Linked DNA regions of Struthio camelus. The protein of the gene in region 2 interacts with the protein of the main gene of each other region in a biochemical or structural test. Links are inferred from orthologs where the notes say so. Each region holds a gene or a part of one and is shown on either strand. Other genes may lie near its edges.

The links. The genes of interacting proteins can lie anywhere in the genome.
Region 1: the proteins of GLRX5 (region 2) and BOLA3 form a complex in vitro, tested with the Homo sapiens proteins (4 studies listed by BioGRID and IntAct, with this or other methods). The link is inferred for Struthio camelus from reciprocal best matches to the Homo sapiens genes GLRX5 and BOLA3.

What each region holds. Positions count from the first base shown.
Region 1 is NC_090968.1:1,073,215-1,080,132, reverse strand, and holds the start of BOLA3 (bolA-like protein 3), read right to left. Parts: upstream 3,072-6,918; 5' UTR 3,030-3,071; coding exon 2,979-3,029; intron 200-2,978; coding exon 76-199; intron 1-75. Other genes in the region: collagen alpha-1(VII) chain-like, read left to right, coding at 3,220-5,769. UniProt on the Homo sapiens protein: Acts as a mitochondrial iron-sulfur (Fe-S) cluster assembly factor that facilitates (Fe-S) cluster insertion into a subset of mitochondrial proteins. Probably acts together with NFU1.
Region 2 is NC_090946.1:67,511,439-67,518,839, reverse strand, and holds the start of GLRX5 (glutaredoxin-related protein 5, mitochondrial), read right to left. Parts: upstream 3,069-7,401; 5' UTR 3,067-3,068; coding exon 2,760-3,066; intron 1-2,759.

The DNA of each region.
Region 1 (6,918 bases), on a different chromosome or scaffold from region 2:
GCAGGGCCTGGTTGAAGGTAGGTAGGGGGGGAAAAAACCCCCCAAGAGCTGTCTTAGCCCTCTTGGTCTTCTTACCGGAGATATCCACGACTCTGATGGCAGAAGCCCGGGGGAATTTCTCGCGCAGGACTCGGGCCACCCTGGCCTCCCCATCCGTCTGCGAGCTGAAGGGTCTCCAGGCGCTGCAGCGCAGCAAGAGCTGGGGGCGCCGAGGCAGCCGTCAGCGCCGCAGGCAGCACCCCTCGGAGCCGGGACGCTTCCCGCAGCAAACATGGACTTGGGGGGGGGGGGTCCCTTCACCAGGGCTCACCCCCAACCACTACCAAAGTTGGGGACCATCACCAGCATGGGGGGGGGTGGTATCAGAGGGGGCAGGGTGGGGAGAAGGTCCCTTCACTGTTACCTGGGGTCCAGGGCACCAGGAGAAGGGGAAGGCAGCCAGCACCAGGACAGGATGGGGGGCACCAGGAGAAGGTTTTGGGGGGGGGGGGGGGTGTGGCCTTCACCATGGACTGGGATGGGGGGGGGGGCTCCTTCATCATGGACTGGGATGGGGGGGGGGGGGCTCTTCCAGCACGGACTGGGATTGGGGGGGGGGGGGGCTCCTTCACCATGGACTGGGATGGGGGGGTGCCCCGGGGGGGGGGGGGGCGCTCCTTCACCATGGACTGGGATGGGGGGGGGGGCACCTTCACCATGGACTGGGATGGGGGGGGGGGCTCTTCCAGCATGGACTGGGATTGGGGGGGGGGGGGGGCTCCTTCACCATGGACTGGGATGGGGGGGGGCTCCTCCAGCACGGACTGAGATGGGGGGGGGGGGCGCCTCCTTCACCATGACAGGGATGGGGGGGGCGCCCGGGGGGGGGGGGGGCGCTCCTTCACCATGGACTGGGATGGGGGGGGGGGGGCTCTTCCAGCATGGACTGAGATGGGGGGGGGGGCTCCTCCACCATGGACTGAGATGGGGGGGGGGCTCCTTCACCATGGACTGGGATGGGGGGAGGGGCGCTCCTTCACCATGGACTGGGATGGGGGGGGGGGCTCTTCCAGCATGGACTGAGATGGGGGGGGGGGCTCCTCCACCATGGACTGAGATGGGGGGGGGGGGGCTCCTTCACCATGGACTGGGATGGGGGGGGGGGGCTCTTCCAGCATGGACTGAGATGGGGGGGGGGGCTCCTCCACCATGGACTGAGATGGGGGGGGGGGGCTCCTTCACCATGGACTGGGATGGGGGGGGCGCTCCTTCACCATGGACTGGGATGGGGGGGGGGGCACCTTCACCATGGACTGGGATGGGGGGGGGGCTCTTCCAGCATGGACTGGGATTGGGGGGGGGGGGGCTCCTCCAGCACGGACTGGGATTGGGGGGGGGGGGCGCCTCCTTCACCATGACAGGGATGGGGGACGCCCGGGGGGGGGGGCGCTCCTTCACCATGGACTGGGATGGGGGGGGGGCACCTTCACCATAGACTGGGATGGGGGGGGGGCTCTTCCAGCATGGACTGGGATTGGGGGGGGGGGGGCTCCTTCACCATGGACTGGGATGGGGGGGGGGGGCTCCTCCAGCACAGACTGAGATGGGGGGGGGGGCGCCTCCTTCACCATGACAGGGATGGGGGGCGCCCGGGGGGGGGGGCGCTCCTTCACCATGGACTGGGATGGGGGGGGGGGGCTCTTCCAGCATGGACTGAGATGGGGGGGGGGGCTCCTCCACCATGGACTGAGATGGGGGGGGGGGCTCCTTCACCATGGACTGGGATGGGGGGGGGGCACCTTCACCATGGACTGGGATGGGGGGGGGGGGCTCTTCCAGCATGGACTGGGATTGGGGGGGGGGGGCTCCTTCACCATGGACTGGGATGGGGGGGGGGCTCCTCCAGCACGGACTGGGATTGGGGGGGGGGGCGCCTCCTTCACCATGACAGGGATGGGGGGCGCCCGGGGGGGGGGGGCGCTCCTTCACCATGGACTGGGATGGGGGGGGGGGGCTCTTCCAGCATGGACTGAGATGGGGGGGGGGGCTCCTCCACCATGGACTGAGATGGGGGGGGGGGGCTCCTTCACCATGGACTGGGATGGGGGGGGGGGGCACCTTCACCATGGACTGGGATGGGGGGGGGGGGCTCTTCCAGCATGGACTGGGATTGGGGGGGGGTGGCTCCTTCACCATGGACTGGGATGGGGGGGGGGGGGGCTCCTCCAGCACGGACTGGGATTGGGGGGGGGGCGCCTCCTTCACCATGACAGGGATGGGGGGCGCCCGGGGGGGGGGGGGCGCTCCTTCACCATGGACTGGGATTGGGGGGGGGGGGCTCTTCCAGCATGGACTGAGATGGGGGGGGGGGGCTCCTCCACCATGGACTGAGATGGGGGGGGGGGGCGCTCCTTCACCATGGACTGGGATGGGGGGGGGGGCACCTTCACCATGGACTGGGATGGGGGGGGGGGGGGCTCTTCCAGCATGGACTGGGATGGGGGGGGGGGGGCTCCTTCACCATGGACTGGGATGGGGGGGGGGGCTCCTCCAGCACGGACTGGGATTGGGGGGGGGGCGCCTCCTTCACCATGACAGGGATGGGGGGCGCCCGGGGGGGGGCGCGCTCCTTCACCATGGACTGAGATGGGGGGGGGGGGGCTCTTCCAGCATGGACTGAGATGGGGGGGGGGGGCGCTCCTTCACCATGGACTGGGATGGGGGGGGCCGCCGGGGGGGGGGGCGGGCTCCTCCACCATGGACTGAGATGGGGGGGCCGCCGGGGGGGGGGGGGCGGGCTCCTCCACCATGGACTGAGATGGGGGGGCCGCCGGGGGGCGGGCGGCTCCTCCGCCGGGACCGGGGCGGGGGGGGGGGCACAGAGAGACGGACCCCCCCCCCCAGAAGCTGGGAGGAGGGAGTCCCGGGCAAGGACAAGGCGCCCCCACCCCCTACCCTGGACTGGGCGGGGGCACACACGGACGGACGGACAGACTCACCGGCCGGCGGCCCAGCAGCCCCGCGCCCGCCCCGGCCCCGGCGGCGGCCATAGTGGGCGGCGCCCCGCGGGGTCACGCGCCGCCCGGCCAATGGCAGCGCGCCCCGCCCACGGGGGCGGCACCCGCCCCGGCACCCGCGGCGGCGGCGGCGGCGGCCGCGGCGGCGCCCTCTGGCGGCCCGGCGGACCCGCGGCGCTCCGCACCGCCCCCGCGGGCGGGGGACCCCGCGGATAGGGACCCCATGGACAGGGGACCCCCATGGACAGGGGACCCCCATGGACAGGGACCCTCATGGACAGGGACCTCCATGGACTGGGGACCCCCATGGACAGGGACCCTCATGGACAGGGACCTCCATGGACTGGGGACCCCATGGACAGGGACCTCCATGGACAGGGACCCTCATGGACAGGGGACCCTATGGACAGGGAACCTCCATGGACAGGGGACCCCCATGGACTGGGAACCCTATGGACAGGGACCTCCATGGACAGGGACCCTCATGGACAGGGGACCCTATGGACAGGGACCTCCATGGACAGGGACCCTCATGGACAGGGACCCTCATGGACAGGGGACCCCCATGGACAGGGACCCCATGGACAGGGACCCTATGGACAGGGACCTCCATGGACTGGGGACCCCCATGGACAGGGACCCTCATGGACAGGGACCTCCATGGACAGGGGACCCCATGGACAGGGGACCCTATGGACAGGGACCTCCATGGACAGGGACCCTCATGGACAGGGGACCCTATGGACAGGGGACCTCCATGGACAGGGGACCCCCATGGACTGGGGACCCTATGGACAGGGACCTCCATGGACAGGGACCCTCATGGACAGGGGACCCTATGGACAGGGACCTCCATGGACAGGGACCCTCATGGACAGGGGAACCTATGGACAGGGGACCTCATGGACAGGGACCCTCATGGACTGGGGACCCCATGGACTGGGGACCCTATGGACAGGGGAACCCTATGGACAGGGACCTCCATGGCCAGGGGACCCTATGGACAGGGACCCCCATGGACAGGGGACCCCATGGACAGGGACCTCCATGGACAGGGGACCCTATGGACAGGGGACCCCCATGGACAGGGACCTCCATGAACAGGGGACCCCCATGGACTGGGGACCCTATGGACAGGGGACCCCCCATGGACAGGGACCTCCATGGACAGGGGACCCCCATGGATAGGGGACCCTATGGACAGGGGAACCCTATGGACAGGGGACCCCATGGACAGGGGACCCTATGGACAGGGACCTCCATGGACAGGGACCCCGCGGATAGGGACCCCATGGACAGGGGACCCTATGGACAGGGGACCCTATGGACAGGGACCTCCATGGACAGGGGACCCCATGGACAGGGACCCTCATGGACAGGGACCTCCATGGACTGGGGACCCTCATGGACAGGGGACCCTATGGACAGGGGACCCCATGGACAGGGGACCCCCATGGACAGGGACCTCCATGGACAGGGACCCTCATGGACAGGGACCCCGCGGATAGGGACCCCATGGACAGGGGACCCCCATGGACAGGGGACCCTATGGACAGGGGACCCTATGGACAGGGAACCTCATGGACAGGGACCCTCATGGACAGGGACCTCCATGGACTGGGGACCCCCATGGACAGGGACCTCCATGGACAGGGACCTCCATGGACAGGGACCCTCATGGACAGGGACCTCCATGGACTGGGGACCCCCATGGACAGGGACCCTCATGGACAGGGGACCCTATGGACAGGGGACCCCATGGACAGGGGACCCCCATGGACAGGGACCTCCATGGACAGGGACCCTCATGGACAGGGACCTCCATGGACTGGGGACCCCCATGGACAGGGACCCTCATGGACAGGGGACCCTATGGACAGGGGACCCCATGGACAGGGGACCCTCATGGACTGGGGACCCTCATGGACAGGGACCCTCATGGACAGGGACCTCCATGGACAGGGGACCCCCATGGACAGGGACCCTCATGGACAGGGGACCCTATGGACAGGGACCTCCATGGACAGGGACCCCATGGACAGGGGACCCTATGGACAGGGGACCCCATGGACTGGGGACCCTATGGACTCGGGACCCCATGGACAGGGGACCCCATGGACAGGGGACCCTATGGACAGGGGAACCCCATGGACAGGGGACCCCCATGGACAGGGACCTCCATGGACAGGGACCCTCATGGACAGGGACCTCCATGGACTGGGGACCCCCATGGACTGGGGACCCTATGGACAGGGGACCCCATGGACAGGGGACCCCCATGGACAGGGACCCTCATGGACAGGGGACCCCCATGGACAGGGACCTCCATGGACTGGGGACCCCCATGGACTGGGGACCCCCATGGACTGGGGACCCCATGGACAGGGGACCCTATGGACAGGGACCTCCATGGACAGGGACCCTCATGGACAGGGGAACCTATGGACAGGGGACCCCATGGACAGGGACCCTCATGGACTGGGGACCCCATGGACTGGGGACCCTATGGACAGGGGAACCCTATGGACAGGGACCTCCATGGACAGGGGACCCTATGGACAGGGACCCCCATGGACAGGGGACCCTATGGACAGGGGACCCCATGGACAGGGACCTCCATGGACAGGGGACCCTATGGACAGGGGACCCCCATGGACTGGGGACCCTATGGACAGGGGACCCTATGGACAGGGGACCCCCATGGACTGGGGACCCCATGGACTGGGGACCCTATGGACAGGGACCTCCATGGACAGGGGACCCCCATGGATAGGGGACCCTATGGACAGGGCAACCCCATGGACAGGGACCTCCATGGACAGGGGACCCTATGGACCGGGGACCCCTATGGACAGGGACCTCCATGGACAGGGACCCCCCCCATTTCCCACTCCCCACACACAGGAAACAAAAAGGGCTGCTGAATTTGAGTGCAAAAAATAAATATAAAATTTATTAAAACACCCACAATATTTTAAAGATATCAGGAATAATACATTTCACAAACCGGCTGGTTGTGTGTAACTCAGAATAAAATACAAATTAAAAAAAAAAAAGAGGGAAGGATCCATACTTGCAATTTTCAGGCCTCCTAAAAATAAATTTACCGAAACACTGGGGGCAGAGGGGGGAAGTGTAAGAAAAAACACCAACAAAAGGGGGGGGGGGAAATTATACAAAATAAAATTATCGGCATAAATTTACTGTCCTAGTAGTATCTACAGTTTAATACACATTAATCCTATTGCCTTGAGACATTGTAAGATCTACCGCCCGTCACTCAACCCCGGATAAAACTTCATTTCAAGTAACCACAGTCACAAGTCGACGAAAAAGAAAAAAAACGGGGGGGGGGAATAAAAGGAGAAAAAAGGAAAAAAGGAAAAAAAAAGAAAAAAAAGAAAGAAGGAAAAAAGAAAAAGGAAAAGAGGAAAAAATAAAAGAGGAAAAAAGAAAAAAGGAAAAAGGAAAAAGGAAAAAAGGAAAAGGAAAAAAGGAAAAAAAGGAAAAAAAGGAAAAAGGGGGGAAAAAGGGGGAAAAGAATAGGAAAAAACAGGTTAAATCTTCAAGTGTGAGTCACAAGGTTGCCTCCATTGGAGGCCTTGTCACCGAATAGGAAGTCCGAGGGACGAGCCACCCCGGCGGCCGCCGCCGCCCTCTCCGCCTCCATCCGCGCGCCGCTTTGCTTGGGAAAAATCCAACCAAAAAAGCGATGGCCGGGGGGGGGGGGAACAAACCAGAATTAACAGAAGCGCTCGCTAAAACCCCCTGGGGTGGGGGGGGGGTGGGGGAAACCCGACGGAAAGGGGACCGGGGACCCCCCCCCCCCGCCCAAAGCCCGGCCGCGGGCCGCCCGCCCCGGGGACGGACGGACGGACGCCACGGAGCCCAAGGGCGCGCCGTGCCCAGCCAGCGGCGCGCC
Region 2 (7,401 bases):
CTTTGGCAGTGCAAGAAATTTCCTCCCCCTGCCCTGGAGGTTAACGCTTTCCAGCTGCACTTACACAGCTGCAAAGAGCTCATTCACACAACTGAGGCAGTGAAAAAACTGTAGGCTTCTGTTTTTTAAATATTGCTTGTTTGTTTTGTAAAACCACAATCCACAGATCTGATTTAAAGCTTGACAGCTGAACTGGCACATTTAAAGCCGATTGTGAAACCAGAGTCTATGCAAATGGCTACTGAAAAGGGTATCTAGAGCACTGCCACCCCAACTCCCCAGCTCCAGTGACAAATTCTCAGTCTGTCTTTTGCCAGCATTAGCACTCATGAATGCTGTGTCAGATTAAAGAATTATCAAACTATTCTCCTATGCAGAGCAGTAGTTTCTCTAATTGAAGAGGTGCATTAGATATCTTCATAGCTATATCTCCAGATCCAGGAACAGACTAGGAGGGCCTTCAATCACAGGTAAATCACCCTGGAAAATTTAGAGCTACAGCAGCCCAGCCTTCTCCTCTGACAGAGGCAGCCATCCACTGACAGAAGCATATACTGACTTTTCAGGGTGCAATAGGTAATACAGCTGAAGCAATATAACAGCCACTGGCCTTGAGAGCAATGACGCTATTCCCCAGGTCCTCATCTCAAGGCTCCATCTCTCATGCTGGCTCTAGCATTCACCGCACACTACAAAAAGCTAGTTCAACTCACGAGCCCAGAAACCCATTAATAAACTAAGTTGGCTCTCTGCGCAGTGGGGAAAGTGCCAAAGCTGCTGCAAGGAAGGGAACAGAACAGAATATACTCCTCTCAGCATCTAACAACGATCAGAAATGTGCAAGTGCATCCTCAGCTGCTGCATTCAGTGCGAAACAAAGTTATCCAAAATTATCCAAACAATCCAGAGTAAACCACTAATTTCAATTTCAAGCTCAGGTACCCAGGAGGGCACTAACTTCTCAGATCACCTAACACAAGTCAAAGATCATCTGGAAGAAACGTTTGCTATGCTCAAAAGGGAAATGTTCTTGTTTCATAGAAAAAAAATTATGCTCAAAAGGGAAATGTTCTTGTTTCATAGAAAAAAAAATACAAATCTATCCACGTGGTCCAATCCTCAGAGACAGTAACTGACCTAAGCATTGCCCATTCAAGTGTTCATGAAAGCCCTCTCTACCAAAAATGAAACGCTGAACACTTGATTTCAATGAATTGGGGAGCGGGCACAAAGGTCTTGTAATTTACCAATTTGTTCTAGTAAACCATAAGATTAATAAATGTAAATATGCATTAAAGCTTAGAAAACTACCACGATTTGTTCACTTGCCAAAGGCTGGTAAAGAGATTTATTTAAATAAATTAATAAATCCAACCTTCATTAATAAAGCATGTCACAAGCACAGCAAAATTCTACTATTTAAGTTTTTATACAATTATAGCTGTGAATCGAAAAGCATCTTAGGGGAGCAAGACTAGAGAATCAGCATTTCAGCTAACAGCTAATGAAAAACTAAGTCAGCTGAGATCAAAAACATATGGGAAGTCACTTGATACATGCCAGCACTACTTTTTTCTGCAGAACGGAGATTTAATACACATTTTAGCATATTCTCTGAAATACTAATGCTATGCACCTGCAAGACCAATTACTACATACTTTTTCTGTTTAAAACTTTCTCAAATAACCACATGCAACGTCAACGGTTGGCCAACTATGCATTTCCAACAGGGAAAGATAGCACAAAAGCATCGGGTGAGCAGAGAATCTGCATTCTACAAATCGGCAAAAATACCTCATATACGGTAGTTCCTACCACTTGAGTAGTAATAGTGAAGCTTCTAATAAATATTTCTTGCACAAGTAACTGGCATAAAGCAAGCATAATTTTGTACTTTTGTGAAAAGTAGTAGAGATCCTCGGCTGGCAGTGCCAGCAGAGAACACAACAGCACAAGCCTGAGCTTTTCCAAGCTACCCATCAAGTTTCACAATACTGTTGTATTTGCCAGGAAAATAAAAATTCTGATTAGAAAATGAAGTATTTTAGGAGTCTCTTAATACAATCTTGTATCTATTAATTAGGAAAAGCAGCATGGCATGAAAAGCCCGGTCTCCAAGAATTTCCCTATAAGCATAACTGTATTCTGTATGTAATTAAAACGCTCAGAGACGCAATAAGCATTACAGAAGTCAAACAGACACATCTAGGCAGGGCAATCTCTGAACTTCATCTCTGCAATATGCTTTGCATTCCACACACCCCCAAGCCCCTGGGATGTAAGCCTTCTTATGAAGCAGAAAACAAGAAAGAAAGCAAAAGAAACTGATATCTCTGAAGGAAAAAAATAAATAAATAAAAGGAATACCACATAATTATCAGCTTGGTGATCTAACGACCCAATTTTTCGAGCAATAAATAGCGCACGAGAAAGTGAGAAAACGTAACAAAAGTAAGTTTTGGGGGCAGAGTCATACATGCCGGACTCCCTGGGGGGCGTTGCGGGTATGGAAACGGACACTGCGCAAGGCAGGGTTTGCGTGGCCTGAGCACCCTGCGGGCAAAGGGCTGCTGATCCCCGTAACAAACGCGCCTCGCCACACCGTCGAGGGGAAGGGACACGCAGACGGGGGCACGGCGCGGGCCTCGGGGCGATTTTCAACTCCCCGCAGCCGCAGCCCCGCGCAGGCCGTGACTGAAGGTGACCCCTCGCGGCGCGACACCCGCCCCACGGGCCGCGGCCCGGCCCGGCGGCTGACCTTGGCGGAGGTCGGGGTCCTGCAGCACGTCGTGGGCGCGGTAGTCCTGCACGCCGTGCAGCCGCAGGATCTGCACCACGGCGTTGCTGAAGCCGCAGAGCGGCTGCGCCGGGCTGCCTTTCATGAACACCACCACCGGGTGCGCCCGCACCAGCCGCTCCACCGCCTCCCGCGACCCCGAGCCGCCGCCGCCATCGCCGCCGCCGTCCTCGGCCCCGCCAGCCGCCGCCTGGCTCAGCCGCCGCCGCCCGGCCCAGCCCCGCGCGGCGCCGCGCAGCCGCCAGGCCGCGCGCAGGGCCCCACTCATCCTGCCCCGCGGCCGCTGCTGCCCCCGCCGCGCTCCGCCGGCCCGCAGCCCCCGCCGCCGCCCGCCTATTGGTAGAGAGGAGAACAGGTCACGAGGAGCGTCTCTTCCGCATAGGAGTAGTTGCCTGCCAATCAACGCCACTAGCCAGTAGCACTAGGAGCCAGCCAGCCTGCTCCCACCCGTCAACGCTAAAGACACCCTGCTTTCCTATTTGTGGAGGAATCGAGTTGCCGCAGTTGCATTGGGTGGGGCATCTGCCACTCCGATCTAATTTGGCTAATCCCGCCTCCCCTTCCCCAGCCGCTGTTGGTCGCGCTGCCCCAGGGCCGTGTTTTGCCCGGGGAGCCGTAGGCGGGGTGAGCGCGCGGCTCTTTCCGCTTCCGGGTAACGGCCGCGCTCGTGGCGGTGCGGCCAGAGGCGCCTGCGGCCTCTCAGCCGCCTCACGGCCCGCGGCGGGGCCCGGCCCGGCCCGGCCTCCTTGCCCCTAGCCCGCTTGGGAGGATGCGGGCCTGCTGTGTCCCCGCTGCCGGACCGAGCTGGGTCGGGCCGGTCTGGGCCATGTGGCGCGGCAGGCCGTGGGCGGCGGTTCGTCGGTGCTGGGTGCCCGCCGGAGCCTCTGTGTGCGGGCAGGGCCTGGCGCTTCTCGGGCGGAGCGGAGCGGGCGCTGCGTTTGGGGTCTGTTTCGACGCATGGGGGTTGTGGCTAATAAAAACCAGCGCTCTCAGCGCTGAGGACGGGAGACTGGTTTCTTTCAGTCAGGTCTCTGGTAATGCAGACTGTGGTAGAGCTCCCTGGGGTTGGGGGAGGGGGGAGGTGATCGAGGCTCTAAAACAACGTTAAATGCTGACATGAAACGTGAGGAAAGTGTGGCTGCGGAAAGGGTGGGCGCTTGTGTATCTTTTGCCTGTGCAGAGTAAAGCCCTTTGGCGGTGAACTGTGTAGAAATACGTGTAAGCTGTAGTGGCAGAAGCGTGTCCTAAAAAGAGCAGCACTGTTGAATCAGTACTTCTTGGTTCTTTTGTCTAGGTAGGTGGAAGAAACATTGGAGGAACACATGCTAGAAGTGTCGGTCTTCTTGGTGCCTTTGTTTGTTTCTACTGACCATTTTGACTGCATTCAGTTGTTGGGCTTGATTTGTTTGGTTTTGGTGGGCATACTGAATATGGCAGTTGATATTATCAAGGAGCTGGCAGTTCTCTGCGTGCTTCACTTAAAATAAGTCCTAGCTGCTAGTACTAAAGTAACTGATACCTTTGTGCAGCTTGGTATGTTGCTGGATCAACTGGCTGAGACTGCAGCAAGATGGAGAGATGGGAGCAAAGGCTGGAATGTTTAACTGTATGTGCGAAAGGCTTGGCTGGTTTGCTGAAAGACCAGCAGAACCACACTGTATCAGTCAGGAAACTGCTGAAATTGGAATGTGTCCTGGAAATAGCCACGTATGCCACTAACTTTGTTAGCGCTCCTGGGCTGATTCTGAATTTTTGCCAAAGATTTGGAGCAGAGCATAGAAATCTTCTACAGCAGCTAGGTCCGTACTGAAAGTAGAGAGAAAGTGTTGAAGGGTGGGTTTTTTTGTTTGTTTGTTTTTTAAGTAAAGCACAAAATCAATGTTTTCCACAAATAACAAATCAAAGTATATTCCTGAGTACTAGTATGCATTGTGGCTCTGCCATTTAGACTTCTGGTATGTTAATGGCCATTTATATTACTTGACATGCTTTTTTTAAGGAAAAGAACTTTTTCCCCTGGTAACGCTAATGTGAAAGCTTTACTGAAGCTTTTCTTCAGTATTCAGAAGGCTGGGTTTTCTAGTTTTTCATTTTGTAGAATCAAACTGACAATTGAGTGACAACTCATTTTTCATTTTCTGCATAATTAAACAAAAAAAATGCTTTGAACCTTTGAAGAATACTCTAGACAGAAACTCTTGCTCAGAAAAAGTGAGATGTACTTTTCACACTGAATTTCTAAACTGACTTAACTTCAAGCATTGCTTCTGTGGTCTTTTATTGCAATTTAATTAGAACAAATTTCAAAGAAAATTGTGGCAAAACTACACTCCCTTCCCATGTGAATAGGTTATAAATGCTTGAAAACAAAAAAGTGTAGTATTTGAGAGTATCTGTACTTACACAGAAATACTTTTAATAAAAAATCAAGAGGTGAAGTTACAGTGTTGTTGATAAATATCGTGCATTTTGTGCATCAGTATGTTTTGCTGCCAGGTAGACTGTAAAGAGCTAAGCACAGTCATGCTGATCAAGACATAGAAAAGTTAGTGTTTTCTGCAGTTCATGTACGGTGACTAACATGGGGCAAGATCTTCAATATGTGTAAAATAAGTAGCATCCAGTTCCTACCAAATGATATTTTAGTAAATTCTGCAAGGAAAAAATAATTCTGGTTTTTGTTGAACTGGTATGATACCACAGGCAGAGGCTTAAGTGTTACCTGTAATAGACCGAGTGAGCTACTTTGTCAGTTTTGATCCAGCAAAAAGAATCTTGCCATTTTAAGATCCTAGGAAGTGAGGAGGGAATTAAATGGAAATTGAGTTAAAAGAGAAAGATTTTTCTTTTCTGAAAGACAGGTAAACATCTTCAACCTAGAAAATGTTGGGCTGCCAAGAGAACTTCATAGTATTTGCCTTCCCAAATTTCAGTCTAGCTATTTATGCAAGGAGATGCTTAGAGAAAATAAAAGAAATGAAATAAGGATATAAAATTGAAGTGTGTGGAAACCCTTGTGAGGATGTGCTCTTCCAAGAATAATGTAGCCACTATTATAGTTTCGTTCTCTGTAGTCCAAGAGGTGCCCTTGGTTGTTAGTACTCTGGGCATACCAGGCTTGCAGAGAGAGCAGCTGTGTGAGGAAGCCGAGGCATGCCTGTAAGAGTCGCAGCAGCAACATGTGCATTATTCCTCTGACAGTTATAATTCTGTTGCCACGGAGATAATGACTTATCCCATGTCATTATTGATCTATCAACAGTAAGAGCAATTTTGCAGTCTGATATTGTTTAGCAAATTGAGTAGCATCTGCTGAACACTTAAAACTGCTATACATGTTAGGTTTAGGAGAACATTTCCATTTACTGGGTTAACTACAAGTACCTGAATTTATAATAATTCACTGTAACCTTGTGAAACAAGTGGCCTGTGAGGTAATATTAAGGTTAATAGAATGCTTTTTAATAAAATATTTAGTATGATCAAGGTACAGAAATGCTTTTTGAATTATGAAATAACAATACTTATTGCTGGTAAGATTTGGAACAGTGACCCCATGTACACTGTTGTTATAGAGAAATAATTATTTCCTGTCTGGTCGAATCTTCCATCAGTCTAAGTGAAGCCTCTTGTATTTTCCAGGTAATGATTTAAATCTGCCATTCAGAAGAAATACTAATGGGACTCCTGACATTTTGCTGATCTTCCTGTTAGAAGAATTATTATCATCTCGTTCTGAAATCAGTGATAAAAGTACCAATATTCAAACTGCTGTGCTTAAATATTCAAGGTTAGAGTCTCAAGTTAGATTACTTCCAGTCATTTTGCTGCTGAACAGAATTACTAGTTGTGAATTGGCGATTTGAGGTTCTTATACAGTTCACAGGAGGAGTTAGACAGGAGAAGCAGCAGGAAAAAAATGGCTAAATTAGATGACGAAAAAGGTTGGAAAAAAGGTCTTATTTCATCTTGTCAGAACGGGACACCTTTCTGCCCAAGTCAGTTATCTCCATGTTGTCCTGACTTGTGATAGTGCCCTGAAGTCTCCTATGTACCGTAACCACGGAGCTCTGCTTAGACGCTTTTATTTCCTCTTGAAGCTTTTCAGGAAGATTGAGCTCCTGCTGTTCTGCATGCCTGGGGAATAATTTGGACATACTGTTAGGGCAATGTCTGGCAGCACTGACGTATCCTTTGTTTTGAGAGCATTGAGAGTTCTTGAAGTGTACGTAACAGTTTTGGATTGCACTGTTACAACTTGTGTGGATGCCTAAAATGTGAACGCTGAAAAAACAGCTGTGAAAAGTTCCTGACCATTTTGAAGATGTGATAGTTTGAAAAAGTTGTGTGTCAAGCAGCAGAAATGTAGAGTTTTGAGAGTTTTATTGGTAGAAACTTGAGTCCAATGGAAAACTACGGATTTAGATTTAGAATCTAAACAGTATCTACTTTGCAAGTTTATTTCTGTTCTAGGTGGGTAATGAATTCATGGACTTATAGCATATTCCCAAAAATAAAATAAACATAGGTTGAAAATAAAGCAGAGTTCATGTCATAATTGATAGAGGCAAAGAACATGTATGAAATCAGCTAGGTCAATTTA